Linked DNA regions of Lonchura striata. The protein of the gene in region 1 purifies or fractionates together with the protein of each later gene. This does not show direct contact. Links are inferred from orthologs where the notes say so. Each region holds a gene or a part of one and is shown in the gene's direction. Other genes may lie near its edges.

Region 1 (7,116 bases):
TGTGAGAGATTATATTATCCACATTTGAAGCAGTGTTCAGATGACTATATCACACAGCAATATTCAGAATTAATGTAGAGTATCCACTTTTGAGTATGCCGTGCTCTGCATCTCAGAAAACTGTTTCTGTAGCATTTTTTGTGAATAACTTTTTAATGTCCTGTAGTATGAAATCCTGTTCTTGCTGAAGAAATCACTGCTTATTATTGCTGTAAGTACATCTGTAATAAAATTTTGAAAAAAAAATTTACAATAAACATGGTCAATCTTATTTCAAAAGGTTGGTCATGAATCCTCCTAACACATTTTGAGATCAGTGTGCTTTGAGCTTTCATCTTATGACAAATGCCTGAACATAGCTGAATTTCATATACCTAAGATTCAGTTCAAAAAACAAAGGTGAATTCTGCACAAAAATAACTGGATAAACTATGGTGCAGGGGAGCAAAAATTTTTAAATCCCTGAAAGTTTCAGCTCCTGGGATGTCTGTCAGGTTCCTAGCTGGATGACTTGGGACATACACATATCAAACTTCTCTTTGGCCAACACCATGGTCCTGTTTGGATGATGAGGCCTCTGAACCTTTCCATTGGAAAGGGCTTGTAAACATCCATGTGGAGAGGATGATGGCACTGGCCTTTTGGTTTATAGAGACATGACTTTTATGCATTTTTAATTTTCAGTTTTTCATACACTTGTCTGTAGTAATTTTTTTTTTAAATCTTGAGCAGTCAAAGCCACATTTGCTGAAATTGTCCGAACTTATCCTCTCCAAATGATTGAAATACTGCCATAAAAATGAAAGTACTGATTTGTCTAACTATATTGGAAAGTGACTGTTTATGCACAGATTACTCTTGTACATCAGAAATCCTATAATTGAAAAGTAGCTAATATAGAATGATTAACAGTAAGAAATAATAATTCCTGTCTGTGTTATCCAAACAAACTTCCCAGTGCTTTTATTTGAGGCGTTTATTAATCTAAACATGCACAGTATATCATTAACGTATTTTCTTGCATGATTGATCGATTGAATTAGTTGTTCACTGGGAGAGGCATGAAGTATCTAAGTAAAATGGGAGGCAGGGAAAAAGGGAAGAGAAAGTGACTTTCTTCAGGAGATATATTAGCAAAACAAATGAACAATATTTGCTAAGCAAGATCAGCATTCATTTCTGCATACTGGAGAGAGTTCATTATGTAGAGCGTCATGTAGAGCTGAAGGTCAAGGCCAATGTGCTTGCTTCCTGTTTTTCAGTGATCCATTATTTGCTCTTGCTTGGTCAGAGTCACTGGTGCTTCCAAAGAGGAAAAACAAAAACAAACAAACAAAAAAATGGCTTCAAGAAGAGGCTCTACAGATACCTGAGTTGTCACTGTCATATGCACACACCACCACAATAGAAATCAAGCACCCTGAATGCACCAATCAGTCCCTCTAGTAGCAGTGAAACAATTAAAACAAATAGATATGTCATTGCCATAAGCTGTAGATGGATAGGAAGAGACTTGTCACCCAAATAGGCTGGAGTTTCTTTGCCTACTGAGTTTTCAGTACCGTAGAAAGCAAAATGCCACTTGATGAGTGTTTTTCCACTTGTCATTTATTTCTGCTTATTCCAAATGGTTCTGTATAAGACAAAAAATTATGTATTTGTATTATTGTAGATTCTGGGAGTGCAACCCATGGAGCTTTCTCTCTAAAGCAATTCATTCCATATGGGTGGGTTGCTATAATTATATCTATGCAGATGCTGAATCCACTTACAATATGCAGAAACCACGGCTGTTGTTTTTGCAGAAAAATGCAGAAAAAGCTAGAGAAAAAAGCCAGCTATTAATCTGGCCTGTTAGTATGTGGACAGAATGACTGATACTGGTTTCCCCTCCCAGATTCTCCATTTATCTCTGGGCTGTTTTTCTATACAGTTAGTGTGCACAAAAGATACAAACATTGGTGTATTTCAGTTTCCTTCTCCTCCAAAAGAGATAATTAATAATATTTGTTGGTTTTTTTTTTCCCCAGAACAAAAATAGTTACTCCCCATAGACCTGATGTGTCTGGGAACGTCTGTGTGGCTGAACTGTATCCCATCCACTGTATGTGTGCTGTGTTGCAGGGCACTAATACTGAATGGTGAACCACAGTGGGTCCTCCCCATAATGCCATGCTTATTTGTCTGGAAATGCTCTTCATCAGTCCTTTATTTCCCCCTCTTCCTTTTTGTAATTCAAAGATATCTGCGTGGGATAGGAGTCTGGTAAAATATATTTTGCCACACCAGATGCTCCCATTAAATTTTCATTACTATATGTCTTACTAACATATTAAATGTTTTTCTTGATATTTTAATCTATAATCTTGCACATCTCAAAATCTATTGAATTAGAAATTTAGCCTATGTTGAGTTTTTGGGTACTTTAGATATTCTCTGCAAATACAAGCTATATGATATATGTGCTCAAACTCATCTGTTGTGAAATACCATATAAATTCCTTCTTTCTGTGTCTATGATTTAGAAATCGTAATGCAGCTAGAAGTGTGAAATATTAAGCATATCCTTTTATCTACTTGGAATTGATGGTGACTTCAAAGTTAGTCCTCATTCATTGCCCGGTTTGTTTCACTTCAGCAATGGCTTGAACTGTGAACAAAAGGAGCTGACAGTATTTTCAGATGGGCGCTTTATAGTTGTGCACTTTGCAACTATATGGTAGGACTATCTCTGTTGCCTTGAATGCAAAATTAGCTTGTTGATACGTGCTGCTACAGACAGAGGAACAGATGTAGTAATTCTACTTTATTTACATGAAATCTCTAAAAAGGCATTTTCTGGCAGCATGCTAGGAATAAATACAGCATCACATATAGAAACGGCGCCATGCTATGTTAGCTCCTTCAGGTGTCAGCTGTGCCATTTGGATGTGGGCGAGAGCAGGGAGTCAGATCCCTCCCAGAAGGGCTGGGAGATTTTTCACATTCTGCAACCCAGCAGCAACCTGCCCCTCAGCCCAGGGTCTCTGCTGAGTGCTGTGCCAGGGGTACCCGCTGGTAACAGCCCTGTGGGAGTCCTAGAGGAGGATATCAGATGTTCTGAATTTTTATTTCTATTTGTTTTTCAAAATAGGAAACCCTCTTACCTTGTTTCCTGGATTGTTTTTGGGATTTAGGTTATTTAGTTTGGATTTTGTTTGTTTCTTTTGTTGTTTTTGTTTGTTTGTTTGTTTATTTGGAGGGTTTTTTTTGCTTTGGTTGGTTTTTATTTTGTTTCTCCAGCCGCCTGCCCCCCCCTCACCATTTACTGTCTATGACTTGGATCTCCCCTGAGCTCATGCTTTCAGGCTCATTTTTCACAGCCAAGACCTTGTGGAACTTAACTGAGATTCGAAACTTGTGGGGGAGGAAGGGGCTCATAGGGTGGGGAGGGATTGCAAACCACAGAAAAGTTCAACATATATAATCTGAGTAAAGAAATGAGGCTTAAGTCTATGAGTCTTTTGAGCCAGGACTACAAGAACTGGTGAGTGATGCTGAGCTGGCAGCTGCCACAAGGGAAAGCTTTCCTGGGGGACTCTGCCTTTTCTCCCCTTCCTCTCTCCTCATTTGCCATTGTGCAAAGGCTGAGGAAGGATGTAGGTATTACTCCAGTGGCAGTCCTTGCTCTCCCCTCACTACTTCAGTCAACTATCAGGTTTAAGCCAGGCTGTTGCCTCTATTGAATTGTCCCTTCTTTCACTCACAAACTTTCCACTGTGGGGTTGGGGTTGTTTATTCAGCTTATGAGCAACCAGACACATTAAAGATGAAATGCCTTGCCTCTGAACTGCAGGCAGAAGTGGTGGGAGGAGACACAGCTAATTTGACTTGGAGGATGATTGATGTGTAGATGTCAATTTCTATTAATATTCTTTTGAAATCACTGACGCAAGCGTGTTTTTCCCCCACTCAACAGAAAATATAAATAGAAAGACAACAAAACAACCCTGTCCCTTTAATTCCTGATACTCAGAAACAGTTAAGCAAACTCTGTCATTTGAAAGTGTCCTCCACAGGCTGGCAAAAAGCAGCTTATTGTGGTGTTCTTACCACTTTAAGAATATCAAGATGCTGTAACAGAGCTATCTACTTACTGTTAAAATGTATAAAGAACAAAAAGCAAGTGTCACTACAGATAGGCTTAGATAAATTGCTTAAATATGTACAGCTCCCTCATTAGACAGCCATTCATTGCATGAAAAGAACTAAATGCATTTGTTGAGGTGTAGCTATAAAAGCCATGTTCAAAATGAACAGAGTTGAGAGCCTGAACGCACAGCACTGTTATTCAGAAGTAGCTTTCGAGCAGAGAGTTTCAACGGGAAGGTGCTGTTTGGTTGGACACAAATCAGCAAACGTTTAGCTGAAGCTGAATAATTTGAGCGTGCATGAAGAGCTTCCTGAAGAGAGAAAAAAACGCAAGAATAAAAAAAAAAAGGAAAACCTTCAAACATTTGCATCAGCCTTAGAGGACAATACAAGCAGCAGGATTTGAAACAGATTTACAGATGCACTCTCTTTAGGCAGGGAGAATGCTCATTAAATGCAAGATGCTTCTGTGGCTCGTGGGCTTGCACGGAGGTAGAGGTTTGCAAGACTGACGTATCAGATAAAGTCAGAGTGGTTACCACACCGACGGTGTAGCAGCTGCATAATAAATGATGGAGAGAATCATGTTAGGCATGCCCACCTAACCTAACTTGAATCATGCGAAAGGGGAGCTGCTGGAATTCAAATAGACTTTCTGGTTCCCAGCAGTCGGCAGTAATAGAATGCTTTCAGGAAGATGACAGATGCAGGGGAAAGATGCTGTTTTGCACTATCTTGATTTGTTACGGCAGCCAACTTATTGGCATGATGGAGTGACAAGAAAAGCAGCTGGCATGGAAGGTAGGATTATCAAAGCTATTGCATCATTATGAATGTAATTAGAAACTGACCATGACAAAGCATATGCTAGAATGAGCTGTCACTGATGACAGAGGATTTGTTGCTGAGGTCTTGAAACTCTGAAAACAAAATTCCTCGTGCAAAATGGATTTTGCAGTTTCATTTATGCTCGTGTTACTCTTTCTTTCCTGCTTGCCTGCAAGCTCGGGGAATTGCTTGCTTGAAAGAGAGTGTTCTGTTAGGATGAGACTGAAGAATAAAGTATTTTCTAAGTCTCTGAAGCCTCAGGTAGATAGAAACAAACAAATGTGAAACAAGACTGGGAAAAGCTCCCTCCGATTCACTAGCAAGCTCTGATTGATATATTGGTATATTGAGGAATTCCAAGGAAATGAAGATGCATGTACTAAATGCTCTGGTATAACAAAAGGATATTATTGCATGTCTCTGCTTTACAGTTAGTTTTTATGACAGGTTTTATTCCCCATCAGTTTTTAGCTCTTGACATTTATCCGGTTGTTCAGAATTATATAAAGAAAATACATCAATATCTCCTGCAGGGTTTCTCAACAACTCCAGCATCTGTTTCAGCTATTGAACTGTACTCACGTTTTGCCAACTTGATGCCTACCCAGCTGGTCTGTCATTTCTCGCTTGATTACTGTTCCTAATTTCTCTGTATCAACTTGTTTCAGATAGGGTTCTGAAAACTGTTAATGAGAAATGACAGTAACTGCTTAACTGTTGAGATCTTGAGTATTCTCTTATTTTTAAAACATTAGAGAGCATTTCTGTGTGCATTTTATTAAATTCATGTTCTGTGTTGCACTGTGAGGTTTTCATATAATTACTGAATTTAACTGTGAATACTTTAGGTGGGTCACAACCATAACTTTTAACTGAATATTTTGAGAGAGTTTGAGAAAATTTACAGGTGTTTTCTTTGGTGTAGGTATTGTATTATTACATGATCCTTCCTCTTGTCCACCTCACAACATATATATTCTCCCTGTCTGTCACGGTGAACAGTCATTAAGTGCATATTGTACATATTGAAATATATTTTATCACCACTAGGGTGAACCGGCTGAGCAGCTCTGAACAGGTGATAGGAACAGGTTTAAAACAGACATCAGCTCTACAAGAGTGGATCGCCCTCGATTAGAGAGGTGAAAGTAGTGCTTTGTAAATGTAAGGTATTCTCTTTCTTCCTATTCAAAGGTTCAACAACCACTCAAACACTGCTTGATAGCTCACAGGTTATGATTATGTTAAATTACTTGGATTACTTTACAAAATGCTTTCTTCTATGTAAACTCCATTCTTCATTAGAATTTTCTTCATTAGAAATTTTTTTTCACAGGTGATAATCAAAAGATTTCTTGTCAAACTGGATATTCACTTTTCTGACTTTATCTTAAATTACTTTATTGGCTGTACTCTGTGTTGTCTTGTCAACAGGGATCAGGCTATTAAAGACTAAATGTTGCTGAGTAAAACTGTAACAGTTTTAGAAAGATAGATGTTTCTAGATACATAGCAGTGAACCAGCCTTTGGAAAGTTTGAATGTAAGGATCAGTAAAACTAATAGCTGGTTGGTGTTATTTAGCTTCTTGTGCATTTCCCTGTTTTGATCATTTACAAGAGACATTTTAAATTATTTTGTAACTGCTGGGAGGGGAGATGTACTCATTAACAGAGAGGATCACTGTAGGGTATGAATAACCAGAAATAGTTCTGTAGTTTTGCTGATAATAAAATAAAATAAAATTTTATTCTGTTTCATCGAAGTTCAATTAAATTTAACAATACTTTCTCATTGTTGATCACAGTGAAACCATAGAGAGAGAAACCTCTATAAACAGCTTAAGTCTCATTCTCCTTTTCAGGGTAGCAGTAAAACTGTTTTATATTGCATATATTATATCTTTATACTCCTGAATCTGCTTAGTCTCTTCACGTCTCCAGAATGCTGGCTGGCAATCATCATGCAGTAGTTACTTAAAATATTCTTTTCCCTGTGATGCCAGTAATTGTAACTTCATGCTGTCTGTGGCCATCACCCAGCTGACAAGAGATTTTTTTAGTTTGTTTCTGTTTTCTCTCTAGTATTTGGTTTTAGCTTTCTCTTTCACTGATGAATTAATAGGACACTAGGTGGAGCCAGCTGTTGATTATAAATA
Region 2 (7,036 bases), on another chromosome or scaffold:
CGTGGTCAGCGCCGACTCCTTCGGGAGGGTGCAGTTCTGGGACTGGCAGCAGGGCACGCTGGCAGAGTCCTGCGCCGTCAGCACCTCGGCCGTGCTCTCGCTGGCCGTGTCAGAGGTGGGTGACACCCCCAGCTCCCCCCTGGCTGGCAGGGAGCGGAGGTGCCGCACTCGAGGCCTCCTGGCAGTGCCCTCCTGTTGTTCCCAGCTGCTCCCACAGCCCCGTCCCGTTTCCCTCCACAGAAAGAGGACAGCATAGTCGTGGGCACCTCCAGCGGGGCCACCTACCAGCTGCAGCTGCTGCCAGTGAGGCTGGGCGGGCTGGAGAAGCAGTGGGTGCGCACGAAGGTGTTCCAGTTCCACAGCCACGACGTGCGGGCCGTGGCACACAGCCCCACCGCCCTCATCTCCGGGGGTAGGACTGCTGCTGGCTCCGGCACTGGGCGGGATCTCCCCTCCCAGGGTGTGGCTGAGCTGTGCTTGGCTTGCAGGCCTGGATGCCCAGCTGGTGATCCGCCCGCTGATGGAGAAGGTGCAGAAGAAGAGCTACGACGCGGTGCTCCGAAAATTCATCTTCCCCCACGTGAGTGATGCGTGGACTGGGGTCGTGGGGCTGGAAGGGCTGGATCTCCCTGCCCCTCCAGGTGCCTTCATTGCCCTGCCAGGGTTCCTTCCCTGAGCCTGGCTCCCTCCTCTGCCCTGTTTGTCTCCTTTCCTGGTACATCTGGAGGCTCTGCCAAGGAGCAGTGGAAGTTGCCAAGCTGGTCCTGCTGGTCCTGCTGGGTCTCCATCTCCATCCCATGGGACCTGATTTCCCTGCTCACCCCCGTGGGGAGTCACCAGCACTCCAGGGCATTCCGGCTGTGCCCCAGCCCGTTGTGCCAGGCTGTGGGTCCATGACACCCTGCCCATTTTTCCACGCAGCGACGCCTCGTCTCCTGCGCCAGGAAAGCCCGGCTGCTCCTCTTCCAGTTCTCCCAGTACCTGGAGCTCTGGAGACTTGGCTCCACTGAGGAGACTGGTGAGTCACAGGCACAGCTCTCTGGTGTCAGCTCCCTGGCAGAGCCCAGGCTGCCAGCAGGATTTGGGGGTTGAGCTGTCCTGGGCCTCAGGGAAGGGTCTGGGCACTCCCCCAGGATCCCCAGCTGCTCAGAGAGCCCCGTGTGGTTTTCCCACTCACCGGTGTCCGTGTGCTTTCTTTCCCAGGAAAGGACGGTGAGGTCCTTCCCTTGTGCCAGATGCCCGAGCACCTCTTGCAGCTCAAGAGCAAGGTAGGGCTGAGGGGGCTGGGGTGCCCCTGGGGCAGGTGAGGGGCGTGTGCTGGGCTCTGGGGGTTCCTCGGGCCCCCCCTCAGTCCCGTGGCATTCCCAGGGCCCGGAGCACATCTACTGCAGCAGCATCTCACCCTGTGGCACCTGGCTGGGCTACTCCACGGCCTCCCGCTTGCAGCTGTACCGCGTGCACTGCGACGGGGACGGCGTCAGCCTCAGCAAGGTCAGAGGGGCGGGGGGCCGTGGGGCCTGGGGGCTGGCACAGCCAGCGTCACTCGTGGGGACCATGGGTGGCAGCGGGGCGGCTGCCAGGGCTGCGTTCTCCCCTCTGCCAGGTCCCCAAAGCGCCCAAGCTGCTGCCTCCAGCCTACCAGCTCCAGTTCTCCGCCGCCTCCGACAGCCTCTTCGTGGCCTCCGCTCGAGGAGCTGTGCACGTCTTCCAGCTGCAGGAGCCGGGGGGCTGCAAGCACCTGCACACACTGCGGCCGCCCTCAGGTGTGGGCTGGGGGTTCCTGGGGTGGGGCTGGGGGTTCCTGGGCTCCGCATTCCCCTCCCCTGTGGGTGCAGAGCGGGGGTGTCCCCCTTTCCTGCCCTGAGGGGTGTGCGAGTCCCTCCCGGGGGTGTCTGTGCCCTCGTGGCCGGGCACTGGACAGGCAGGGGGGACGTGGGGCTGGGTGTCTGTGGGTCTGAGGCTCCCAGCACCCCTCTGAGCCCGAGGCTGTCTGCAGGCTGCTCCGAGGCCGTTTACCTGCTGGCGCCGAGCGCGGACGGGCACTGGCTGGCAGCCGTCAGCGGCGACTGGGCCATCCACGTCTACAACCTGAAATGCTTCAAGGTGGGCCTGGGAGGGACCCCTGGAGACATCACTGCACCCCTGGAGCAGGGCTGGGGTGGGTGTGTGGGGCAGGGGGTCAGGGGTAGTTCTGGAGGTTCTGCTCGGGGTGGGTGTGTGGGAAAGGGGGTCAGAGGCAGTCCTGGAGGCTCTGCTCGGGGTGGGTGTGTGGGGAGGGGGGTCAGAGGCAGTCCTGGAGGCTCTGCTCGGGGTGGGTGTGTGGGGAGGGGGGTCAGAGGCAGTCCTGGAGGCTCTGCTCGGGATGGGTGTGTGGGAGCGCTGTCAGCAGTGGCTGTGGCGGGTCCCACCAGCACACTGTCCCCTCCTACAGCATCACTGCGTGGTGCCCAGCTACGACTGCGCCGTATCGGCCCTCGCCATCCACCCCATCACCAACAACCTCGTCATCGCCTACTCGGACCAGCAGGTAGGAGCTCTGCTAGTGGAGCTCTCGTGGCTCTGCTCCCTTCCCCGTGTCCCTGCCCTTCCAGCGTGGCTCGGGGGCCTGGCTGGAGCCGCTGGGGCGCCCCTGACGTGTCCGTGCCCCGCAGCTGTCCGAGTTCAGCATCCCCGAGAAGCAGTACACGGGCTGGAGCCGCGCCGTGCAGAGCCGGGGGCTGCACCGCGTCTGGCTGGAGCGGGACTCGCCCATCACGCACATCACCTTCAACCCCAAGAACGCCGCGCACATCCTGCTGCACGACACCTTCCTGCTCTGCGTGCTCGACAAGTCCCTGGTGAGCCGGGGGGAGGGCCGGGGCTGCCCGGGCGCTCCGGGGGCGGCCTGACCCGTGCTCTGCCCGCTCCCGCAGCCCCTGCCCGACGACGGCGCCATCCTGATGAACCAGAGCACCCTGAAACAGCTCCCCGAGACCGCCCGGAAGCGGCAGCTCCACGCCTTCAAGATCTGCAAGAAGTTCCAGGTGGGTGGTGGTGTTGGGGAGCAGGGTCAGGAGGTGCTCGGGCTCTGGAGAGGGACTTTGAACAAGGGGACAAGGGGGAATGGCTTCCCAGTGCCAGAGGGCAGGGTTAGATGGGATAGTGGGATGGAATTGTTCCCTGGGAGGGTGGGCAGGCCCTGGCACAGGTGCCCAGAGCAGCTGTGGCTGCCCCTGGATCTGTCCAAGGCCAGGCTGGACAGGGCTTGGAGCAACCTGGGCTAGTGGAAGGTGTCCCTGCCATGGCAGGGGGTGGAACGAGATCCTTTAAGGTCCCTTCTACCCCAAACCATTCCCTATTTCCGTGATTCCCATCTCTGGCCTTGCAGCCACTGCTCTTCATGGATCTGCTGGACAAGAACTGCCTGGTTGTGGTGGAACGACCCATCATGGACTTCAAAACCCAGCTGCCTCAGCCTGTCCAACAGAAGAAATTTGGCACCTGAGAGCAGAAGAAGCCACTCCAACCTTGGGAACCGTCTCTGTGCTGCTTTCCTGGGGCACTGTAAGAATTTTCTTAAGGTGCTGTAGGAATAAAACCTCACTGTTGTGTACATGCCCAGGCTCAGGGCTCATCCTTGTGCGTGACTCCCTGTTGTTACACCACCATCATGTCAACATGATCTTCATATCCTTCCAGTTCTCCTCCCCGGGGCACAGGGATAAGGTGACACCCCAAATTCCATCCCTTTTCCCTCAGTGTCTAATCCCGGTGTTGGATTCTCCCTCCGCATCAGTCGTGTGGGTCCGTGGGTGCTGCCTGGGGCCGGGCAGCCTCATTCCCTAAGGACGGGGGCTGTGGGTGTTGCGTGGGCCAGGGAAGCGTCATTCCCCAGGACGGAGGGCGAGAAATCGGGGACCACGGAGAGCACGGGAGATTCACAGCGGGGCTCGCCAAATAAATCGCAGCGCGCCAAATAAATCCCAGCGCCAGACATGGCGGGCGGGGCGTGGCTTCCTTTGCCCCGCCTCTCAGAGCGACCAATCGCATCAGCGGTGGCTTAGCCGCCTCCTCTCTGATTGGTGGAATCGGGGCGGGGGCGGGGCGGCCCCACCCCAGTCTCCCGCGCCCCCGAGCCTACCGTGGCGCGCCATGCGGGCGGGGGCGGGGCCGCAAGCCACGCCCCCTCCGCCAGGCCACGCCCCTTCCCCGGTGACCGGCGGCGGCGGCGGCGGCATGGCCGTGTGGACCCGGGCTTGTAAAACGGGGCTGCTGGAGCTGCTCCTGCGGGACCGCTGGGTCCGCGTGTCGGCCGAACTGACCGGCGAAACGCTGAGCTTAACGGCGGAACCGGGAACCGGCGATCCGTCGGTGGTGAACGGCGTGGTGAACGGCAACGCGGAGGCGGCGGCACCCGGTGGCGTGAGGAGGGTGCGGGTGGTGAAAGCGGAGGCGGGAGGGCTCGGGATCAGCATTAAGGGAGGTCGAGAGAATCGGATGCCGGTGCTGATCTCACGGATCTTCCCGGGGTTGGCGGCGGAAAGGAGCGGAGCGCTCCGGTTAGGCGACGCCATCCTCGCCGTTAACGGCGTCGATCTCCGCGATGCCACCCACGATCAAGCTGTGCAGGCGCTGAAGAGAGCCGGGAGGGAGGTCATCCTTGAAGGTAACGCCTCAGCCCCTTCCTGTCCCCCGAATCCCCGGTACGGGCCCCTGGTGCTCTCCTGTCCCCCGCCCCGGTGCTCCCCCGCCGTTACCGGCTCCCACCACCGCCCCTGCCGCTGTCACCGGGCTCCCGGACCCGCTCTGGGTCGCTTTTCCGGGTGTGGGACGCCACTGCCCCACCCCAGTCCTGGCGTGTTTGTGTGTCCCCCCAAATCCCCGGAGCCTCGGGGGGCCCGCAGGACGGGGGGCAGGGGACAGGGGCTGGGGCGTCCCTCGGGTCGGGCTGCTCCGTCTGTGGCGGGATGGCAGCCGGGCACAAGGACAGGATATCCCCGCCGACTGCTCCTCCAGGACAGGCTGGGCTCCCTCGGAGACACATCTGGGATCCCCCAGGGCAGCCTTGGTGTCCCCTGGCTGTGGCGTCCCCCTGAGCAGGTTGTCCCCCATCCTTGGCACCCCCAGGCTGGCTGGCTGGCCCCAGGCGGGGCTGTGACGCCGGGTGCTGGTCCAGGGTCTGCCCACGTCCCTGCGGGCTCGGTGTCCCCGCGGGCCCCGTGCCCGCGGCACAGCTGGCACGGGACTGGCCCACGGAGCCACCGGCTCCTGCCCGACCTGTTCCCGGCAGCCCGACAAGCTCGGGCAGGACCTGCCCAGCCCGGCGGCGCGGCACGGTGTGCCACGGGGCACCGCGAGGCCACGAGCCCCCTGTGCCATCAGGGAGGGCTATCAGACAGTGCTGTGGTGCCACACGCACTGTCCTGGTGTCCTGGCACGTCTGTCTGTCCTCCGCTGCACGAGGCTGCTCCGGGGACACGGTGCCCGCTGGGCACAGGGCACAGGGACGGGTGCTGCCGCTTTGCCACGAGCTCCTGGCACACTGCAGTGGCACGAGGGGACACGGCTGGGCTCCCCGGAGTGGGCACACCTGGCACGAGGCGCTGGGGCACGGCTGGGGTGCCGCAGGGGTTGAGGTGGAGCAGCGGTGTCAGGCTTGGTGCTGTGGTGGGGGCTGCTCTTGGGTTCAGCCCGTGCTTCCTTCCTCCCGCTGCCCGTCCTTCCTCCCGCTGCCCGTCCTTCCTCCCGCTGCCCAGCCGTTTGATCCTGTCCTGCAGCAGCTCCAGCTCTGTGCTGTGTTTGTCCCTTGCTTCCGCCACGGGCACCACGGCAGACGCCTCTTCTTTCCCTTTCCTTTTCCCTTTCCCTTTCCCTTTCCCTTTCCCTTTCCCTTTCCCTTTCCCTTTCCCTTTCCCTTTCCCTTTCCCTTTCCCTTTCCCTTTCCCTTTCCCTTTCCCTTTCCCTTTCCCTTTCCCTTTCCTTCTCCCTGTGCTGGGACAGGAGCTGATGGGGGACACTGCCCATCCAGTGCCATCCAGCCCCATCCCTCCTCACAGCCCTGGAGCTGTGACCGCCCTGGCAGGTGCCAGAGCTTCTCCTGGGCTCAGTGCCAGTGGTGGAGGGGAAACCATCATCTCCGTGGGGCTGGTGTCACCCATCCTGGGGCTGGGTTTGGCCTCGGGGCCCACGCCAGGCACCACCCACGGGCCCATCTGCTGCCCTGGGGGAAGGGAGCCCTTCCGGAGCTGTGGGTGCGGTGCGGACCATGGGCACTGCCCGGGCACAGGCCTGGGGAAGCCGGGTCGGTGCTCCCGGCCGGGTGTGGGGGCTCGGCCCGGTGAGGCCGGTGTGCCGGCAGCAGTGCCGTGCAGCCGGAGCAGGCAGTGCCGTGCAGCCCCTTCCTGCAGCGGGGCAGCGAGGGGCGCAGCGACAGCCGGGCTTCCTCTGCGGTGAGCGCGTGGGTGGCAGTGGCTCTGCCGGGTGACGGTGGCTCCGTCGGGGCAGCAGCGGCCTCGTGGTGCGGCTGCGTGCTGGTCACGGCTCGCCAGAAGCAGAAGGGGTGGTCGCACCCCCGTGCTAGCCGCGTGTCTGCTGGCACAAGGCGCTCCGTGTCCTGCCTGCACCGTGGATGCTGCCCACTGAAAACTGGGAGCCGGTTCTGCTGTCCCCACCGTGGGCAGACACAGTCCTGGGCATCACCCACCATTCCCGGTCACCGCGGGGCACCCGCACCCCTGGCTCCCGAGCTGCTGGCTGCCCAGCTTGGCCTCTCACCTTCCTGGCTCCGTCGGGGTCAGTGCCTGAGCTGGAGCCCCACGCGCTGAGCTCCCTCCCAGTGCTGGAGGCAGCTGCCCACATCTGGCAAACATCTGCCGAGCGGCCCCGCAGCGGGAGCTGCCCGCGGCGCTCCCTGCCCGGCCCGGCAGCGGGATTAGGGGTGTGGGGCCGGCGGTAATCCCGGGATCAGCGCGGCGGCAGCAGCTAATATTAACTCCTGTGCTGCCCGCAGCAAGGGCAAGCACCTCGTGGCTCAGCAGAGCCGCTGGGAAGCGGGGGG
Region 3 (7,650 bases), on another chromosome or scaffold:
GGAAAACAAACCATAATTCCAGGTTATGAAGACCTTCAGGCGTTCCTGACATCTTCATAAACCCCACCAGCACCAATGAGCAGTGATTACTGAATGCTGACTTTAAAAACAACAGGCTCCCTCAGCACTGAGGAGGGGAGGATTTCTCCTGGGGATTAGGTGAGCTGCCTGCCCTGCACCAGCAATCCCTGTTGGAAAGCATGACACAGGCCACGTGTGATGTCCCCCCACGGGGCAACAGGGACATCTGCATCAGCACTGGAGCTTGCCCTGCTGCATCCCATCAGGCATAGACATAGGAGGGGCTGCCATGGGGGAACGAGTAGTTCAGGCATGTTCCTCAGAAAGGAACTTAAACTTGGCTGCTACAGTGTTTGGGATCACTGAAGGAGCTGAACTCCCTTCCAGCTTTCTCATTATTTGCCATGTTTCCAGCACTGGCCTTCCAACACTGGACTTCCTTCCTATCCAGATCTGTCTGCTGAGCTGGTCGGTGTCAGGGTAACAAGATGGGAATGTCATTATCCAGACCTGATTTTGTCCAACCTCCGTCAGCTGAAGCATGTTCAAGGATCACAACCCAGTTTTTTCCAATTTAAAGCAGCTTTGGCTGAGCTGGCTTTAAGCTGTTGTAACACTGATAATGCAAAAAGGAAGAAAAATAAGATACAAGAAGGGTTTAAGCATGTCCCAGAAGTCCTTAAAAAATTACACCTCTGCTATAGAACAGCACAGACAGTCATAAAGAAGCCACAGCTATAGAAAGGCTCTCTTGTGTCCTTACCTTCTCTGCCTGTGAGGGAAATGGGAACTATGTTCCCTGTAGTGCTGAGTGGTGAGCTTGCATATGTGGCCTTGCAATGATTTTGCTATTAGGACGACAGTTTATGTACACAAGATATGAACACTGGCCTCTGCCTGAAAAAAGGGAAAAGCCCCCATTAACAGGCAGTGTCCTCATTGTCTCCAGTAGCCTCTACAGAAAGTTGAGCACCATACCCACAACCCTTTCTGCACAGTTTTTCTTGTACTTTTGTTCTTGCACATACAGACCCCAAATCCCTTGATCTTGCTTGGACACCTGGGCAGTTCCTCAGACATCACTTCTGCACTTTATGACCTGGACATGCTTTGGTGCTCCTTGTCCTGGGAAGCAGCTTCTGTGTTTTTCAATGCCCTGACTTCTTCCAGTTCACTGAACTGCTTCTTCCATTTAGGCCCTTGACTTCAGCTGAGCCCATGGGCCCCTGCAGGTCAACAGCAGCTATTAGCATTATTTTGCCTAACAATTTGTTTATATAGCAGGAATGAAAGGGACACTAATCTAGTTCAAGCATCTAAGCACTGCTAAAATACAAAAATCAAAAAATTATTATTTGGCTTGTTTGAAAGATTCCATTCTTCACATCAAACCCTTTCAGAAGGAAAACTGATGGAGAGAGAGTTTTGCTAAGCCTTGTCTGTGCTGAACGGCTTTCTAGTGATTAGAGATGGAAGTTTGGAAGTATTGAGTGCTTTGCCCATCCCACCACACATCTCAGCTTCTTTACAGAGAGTCACTGAACACTGCAATTGCAGTGTGAGTAATTACAGATGCTGCCAGAAACAAAACTGTCAGGGAAAGTTTGTAGTTGAAATCAGGAATTTGCTTTCTGCTATGCCCTGGAAAACATTAGGGACCAGCAGCTGACTTTGGAATAACAATTTTCTGTGGCAAACCTGGGCATCCAATATCTGAACACCCAATTAAATGCCTGGTTTTATCTTCTGTTTCTGCTCCTGCTGCATAAACCTGAATTTCAGAAATCACAATGCAGGTGTGACTGGCAGACCTGAGGCAGGACTGAAGTCAGTAATGTTGGTAGGGGTACCAGCAGAGAAATCTCAAGACATCTTTTCTTTCTCACCTTCAGTTCAGCAGCCCAAAGTTGCTCTTGGGGTACACAAAGACTCAGGGTACACAAACAGAATTATGAGCCTGCACTCCCAGGACAGGGAACACACGCATCAGTATCAACTGCAGTGTCTTCAGGAGGAAAGACAATCTGTGGCACTGTTTGCCTCGAGCCTGTGCCTTAGCATCTCTTACACTACCTTTATTTTCAAGACTAAAACATCACCTCCATTTTCTTTACAGTCCCAAGGTGGGCAAAAAGGGGGAGGAAGAAGCAGGGAAGGCTGCTATGAAGTTTATTTTGTACCGGGGATCCATATCTCAGATGAAGGTCCTGGGAAACTTCATTATGTACCTCAGTTGGAATGAGAAAGCAAAATATCTGGAATAAGCACAACTCTCAGCTACATGCAGTGCAATTGTCTATACAAGTGAGTTCCATGGGAATCTACTGGAGCACCAGGAACAGTCAGCAAACATGGCCCAAACACACAGTGTGCCAAAGAAGGGTGAGGCATTAAACATTTACTTTCCTTTCTCTATTACCTTTGCACAACAGGACAGAAACCACCTAAATATCTCTTCATTATAAATTTTCTTGAACTACTTCAAAAATACACTTTTCCATTAGCAGCAGCACTCATCCTTTATTAATTACTAAAGAAGAAACATAAAAATAATTGGTAAGAGCTGATCACTTGGAAACAGATGTCTGATTTTATAACTTGACCTGGACATTTGTGCTTGAAGCTACACAGGAGTGTGAATGCTACAACAACAGGCACGGTAACACCTGATTTTGCAAACCTGTCTGTTCCCTCCCATCCTTATTTTACAAACCTAAAGCTGCTGGAACCAAAGGAGCACATTCATTAATTATGCTTTGCACCTGGGAATGGGATCTACAAAAACCCACCAACCCAAACATCCAGGGTATTGTACATGAGCTACTAAATGAGCAAGGGAGGAATCAGGTGGAGAAAAGGGTGTGTTGCAGCCTGCTCCTGCACAGGGATTAGGTACCTTGTTCAGGTTTAGCGGGACATGCTTCTTTTCACTCTGGATTCACAGCCCTGAAAACTTAATTATAGCTTTTCACCTTGCATTGATTAACATGAGAAATGAAGAGCCCTCTCTTCCGTCTGCTTTTTCTCCACCCACTCATTATCCTTGAATAACACATAATTTGGATTCTCACTCTCCATAGGTGCAGGGTTGCATTCCTACTGGGGAGGAGGGATCCATAACCTGGATGAGGCTGCAGATGAACTAAAGTAGAGGCCTCCTTTTGGAGGGAAGAAGCATGGTCTGAGAGACCCTACTAAACCAAGACAAACTCGTCTGAGGATGATCCCATATATAGGTCCCACCACAAAGTGAGGAGGTGAGTCCCAGGTTGGCCAGCCCACATTACCCTGGGGCACATGTGTGTACCTAGAAACAAATCCCCAGTGTCAGAAATGAATGGCATCACTTCAAAAAAGGGCAAGATGGAGCCCTTAGGAAGCCACATGACTCACATGGCTGAAATGATTGGGACTATCCAAAATTATTTGGACTATCCCAATATCCCCAACTTCTCTGGCTATCCCAGCCTCCACAAAGTGTTGTCTATACATACACCAGATGGTCCAGAAGCACTGGAGTTTTCATTCCAGCTTAGGAAGAAAGCAGAGCTGCTCTGCAAGGAGCAGAAACAAAGGCAGTCCTGGAGGTGCTTCCTGTCTGCAGCTGCTGTGGGGGAGCACCTCCAGGCCTGCTGAGGACATTTCTGAAAGGCAACCTGAAAGCATTGCTTTCTCTGATGCCTGAGCGGGAGCTTTAAGCCCCTTGTCAGGGGTCTATTGTTTCCTAGGAGGGCAGAGAGTATGGGAAAAATTGCAAAAAAAGACATGTAGCCCCACAAGTCTTTAACATTTGTAATCAAAGGGCATATAAACAATTACTAAATGTGCAAAAGTATCAGTCACAAACACTTAATACCTTCATCCTACAAAGCCGTGAAATAACTTGTATTCTACTTCCATACCGCTGAAATTTAAGTACTTGGGGCCACCCGTTAGTTTTAATTCACTTTATAGAAAAATCCTTGGGAATAAAACAGAACTGGGTTTTCCTTATCTCTTCCCTGCCCTTGGTTTCCTACAGCTCCCCGCTACACCCCACTGCAGACGGCAGCTGCGGGGCTGGCACTGCCGCTCCGGCGGGGCCCCGCAGCGCCAGACGCGGCCACAGCCCGGGCTCGGAGGGAGCCGGGGCTCCGCGCGGGGGTCCCACGCCGTGTCCCCGAGGGGTCCCATGCCGTGGGGCTCGGAGGGAGCCGGGGCTCCGCGTGGGGGTCCCACGCCGTGGGGCTCGGAGGGAGCCGGGGCTCCCCGCGGGGGTCCCACGCCGTGTCCCCGAGGGGTCCCATGCCGTGGGGCTCGGAGGGAGCCGGGGCTCCGCGTGGGGGTCCCACGCCGTGTCCCCGAAGGGTCCCACGCCGTGGGGCTCGGAGGGAGCCGGGGCTCCGCGTGGGGGTCCCACGCCGTGGGGCTCGGAGGGAGCCGGGGCTCCCCGCGGGGGTCCCACGCCGTGTCCCCGCGGCAGGGGCGGGACGCCCCGGTCCCACTCCGCCCGCGGGCGGTGCCGCCAGGTGCGCCCGCCCCGGCGCGGCCCCGGCGGGGCGGCCGCGGCTCCTGGCCCCACCCCGCCGCGCCGGGAGCTGCCGCCCCCCGGCTGAAGTCCGGAGCGGCCGCGCCGTGCCGAGCCGAGCCGCGCCGGGGGTGCCGTCACTCGGCGCTTCCAGCATGCTCCTAAGATGGCGGTAGCGGCGGCGGGCGGCGGCGGGGGCGGCCGGGCGCAGCGCAGCGGCTGGCTGGAAGTTTTGGTGCGGGAGCGCTGGCACAAAGTGCTGGCCAACTTGGGCGGCGAGGCGCTGGTGCTGAGCGGCGAGGAGCGCCCCGACGGCGCGGCGCACAACGGGCTGGGCGGCGATGGGACGGCGTGCCGCGGGGCCGAGGGCGGCGGGGGGCCGGCGGCGGCGCGCACCGCCTTCACCGACCCCCCCGAGCAGGTGCCCGAGGCCATCTCCAACAAGAAGCGGTGCGTGAAGGTGCTGAAGCAGGAGATGGGCGGACTGGGCATCAGCATCAAGGGGGGCAAGGAGAACAAGATGCCCATCCTCATCAGCAAGATCTTCAAGGGGCTGGCGGCCGACCAGACCCAGGCTCTCTACGTGGGCGATGCCATCCTGGCCGTGAACGGCACCGACCTGCGGGATGCCACTCACGACGAGGCGGTGCAGGCGCTCAAACGGGCCGGCAAGGAGGTGCTGCTGGAAGGTAGGGGAGCGGGGCGGTCCGGCCGTGCGCACCCGGGAGCGGGGGCCTGTGGGGCGGGGCGGCTCCGCTGCCCGAGAGGCGGCGGAGCCGAGCTGGGAGCGAGGGGATGACCCCGCGCATCTCCTGCTGCTCCTCCGAGCGTCTTTCAGCACGGAGAGTTCACGCCCTGTACGCGCTGGGACCCTCGACGGCGTGTGTCATGGACACAGCCCCTCGGCAAGGGACGAGCGGGATGCCGGGGAGCCGGGCTTGAACTTTCCGCTCTCGTATCCGCCGGTGCAGTCCCCACAGCCTCGTCCGTGCGCGGTCGGTGGAGGCTCCGCAGCCCCGTCTGGTCGCGGCGATGCACCCAATACACTCAATATCTGCTCCTGGGCTGAGGCTCCCGGTAGGAGCCTGACCGAGCCTCCTGCAGGGTGAGGGATCCTCTGGATCTGCCGTCAGGACGCTTTCACATCTTTTCAGTACAAGAAAGGTGGGGAGAGTTGGGTACTTTGAGAGGAGAGGTTAAACAAGTAAAGGAACCCCTCCTTCCTCCCCTGGCATTAAGGGAATGACATGGGTGACTTTGCCCCAGTCATCTCGAAACGCCCGACACCACCCTCTCTCCAGTTCCTCCTTCCACCACGTACTCCCGAATAGGGATGTGGGGTGGGGGCAAAGCGGTTTAAATGAAGCTGAAGGTGCCTCACGGACTCACTAGCCATCCCACCCCTGCAAAGGAGCGCCCTTTCCTTTCTCAAGGGTGGCTGAAACAGTTTTGTAAAAAGTAGCCTTAGAAATTGACCTCAGAGAAAAGAGCAGACGCTGGTGTGCGTGGAGGGGACGTGGAGGGAGGGTGTCCCCCCAGAACGGGACGGATGTTGGGGGAGAGCGAGTAGAAAAGCACAGGCGGTTTCCCTCAGACTACGAGTCCATGAGGAGAGAGGCGTGCACAAACGTTTAATCCCCGTCTTTTCACAAGGGCTAATTTACTTGCTCCACCTGAGAGAATGAACAGCTTCAGAACTGCCCTTGGCGTGTGTATGATAAAGTGATTACATATTTGCCCACGAGTTCATTTAACCGGAGGTCAATGGCATTTGAGGCATGCTGCATCGCTGCCTTCCCCTGTGCCATCGCTTTCCTGCCGGCACTCCCACCTCGCTGTACCTGTAGCCCTTTCCGTACCGCGCATTTCTTTCTGTGTTTTTTTGGTGGTTATTTTGAGGAGCAAAAGGAGATGCTACCGCTGGCTGGGAGGTGCAGCTGAGGATCAGCCATGAGCAGCCAACTATGGCATAAATTTGCAGAAAAAGTTTGAAAGGGAGAGAAGGTGACAAATGTATTCCATAGTAGTGTGTGCTGAGAAACTCTTTTGTTGTCCCTATGACAGTGAAAACTGGAGGAGTTATGCTCCATGAGGATTTAAGAAGCTGAGGACAATTGTGTCTCCTCTCCCTCTGTGCCCTGCAATACCTGCAGGACCGAAGTGCATCTTGTCTTCCCTTGCTGCAGCTGAATTGATTACAGCTATACCTCTGAAGTATTAATATGAACTTCTCTGAAGTGGGGCTGTTGCATCTAAATTTTGTCACTGATTTGCTTGTGCAGTGTAAGGTCTTTCTGGGGTGCCGTCAGGTAGTGGCTGGGCTTTTGCTGTGACCTAATGAGTAATGTATATGATGCTTGCAAATCTCCCTGCCTCTGTGTGGTGAGCCTTAAAAAACCCTGTTTTCTTCCAGGCTAGGAGTGAAGATGAAGCCGTTTCAGTGGGGACTCTGAGCACCCTCCTTCACTCCTTTTGACATCACAGCTGTCTTGCATTTCTTTGCTCCGTGCTGAGGTGCCTCAGTAGTTGTTTCTGCAATTGAATTTGTAATTTGCAAAACGAGAATATATTTCAGTAGTGATCTGTATATAGAGGTAAAATATTCTGATGCTGCACTCCGTATTTTGTCCTGGCTTTCTCTTGCTATTTCAGCAGAGTAACCAAACCAAACGTTGGCTCCAGCATTGCCTGGGAGGGCTTCTCCCTTCAGTGGGGACCCACTCCACATGAATGGCGTGTGAAAACAGGCAGCTTAGAACAATTCTCTGTGATTTTATTGCCCACTTTGAAGCTCATTCTTCAGCAGCAGAGTCTAAAATGGTATGTTTATTACTAAAGGAAGGAAAATGCAGAAGTTCTTTTTACTCTTTAAAGTATGGAAGGGTAACACTTGATTTTCCTTTCCTTACAGACAATAGGATTTTGCCATTTCCTGACTTCTTAGAGAGTTATATATGGCAAAAAGCAGGCTGTGATGGGGCAGGGCAACACCCTTGTGCAGGTCCTCTCTAGACTCTATCCAATTCACAGAGCAAAGTCAGCATGTGTTTCCAGGGTCAAAATGTAAGATCTACATTTTGGGGAGATTCTGAGATTTGTTTGTGTCTTCCAGCCCAGGAAAG

Evidence for each region.
Region 2: the proteins of DMD (region 1) and SNTB2 purify together in Homo sapiens (co-immunoprecipitation; 4 studies listed by BioGRID and IntAct, counting the BioPlex papers as one, with this or other methods). This does not show direct contact. The link is inferred for Lonchura striata from reciprocal best matches to the Homo sapiens genes DMD and SNTB2.
Region 3: the proteins of DMD (region 1) and SNTB1 purify together in Homo sapiens (co-immunoprecipitation; 4 studies listed by BioGRID and IntAct, counting the BioPlex papers as one, with this or other methods). This does not show direct contact. The link is inferred for Lonchura striata from reciprocal best matches to the Homo sapiens genes DMD and SNTB1.

What each region holds. Positions count from the first base shown.
Region 1 is NC_134604.1:107,466,188-107,473,303, reverse strand, and holds the start of DMD (dystrophin), read left to right. Parts: upstream 1-4,114; 5' UTR 4,115-4,835; coding exon 4,836-4,932; intron 4,933-7,116. UniProt on the Homo sapiens protein: Anchors the extracellular matrix to the cytoskeleton via F-actin. Ligand for dystroglycan.
Region 2 is NC_134615.1:23,002,530-23,009,565, forward strand, and holds the start of SNTB2 (beta-2-syntrophin), read left to right. Parts: upstream 1-4,018; 5' UTR 4,019-4,131; coding exon 4,132-4,645; intron 4,646-7,036. Other genes in the region: UTP4 (U3 small nucleolar RNA-associated protein 4 homolog), read left to right, coding at 1-115, 241-412, 489-580, 922-1,018, 1,204-1,268, 1,369-1,491, 1,604-1,763, 1,997-2,103 and 4 more. UniProt on the Homo sapiens protein: Adapter protein that binds to and probably organizes the subcellular localization of a variety of membrane proteins. May link various receptors to the actin cytoskeleton and the dystrophin glycoprotein complex.
Region 3 is NC_134603.1:13,521,947-13,529,596, forward strand, and holds the start of SNTB1 (beta-1-syntrophin), read left to right. Parts: upstream 1-4,612; 5' UTR 4,613-4,694; coding exon 4,695-5,217; intron 5,218-7,650. UniProt on the Homo sapiens protein: Adapter protein that binds to and probably organizes the subcellular localization of a variety of membrane proteins. May link various receptors to the actin cytoskeleton and the dystrophin glycoprotein complex.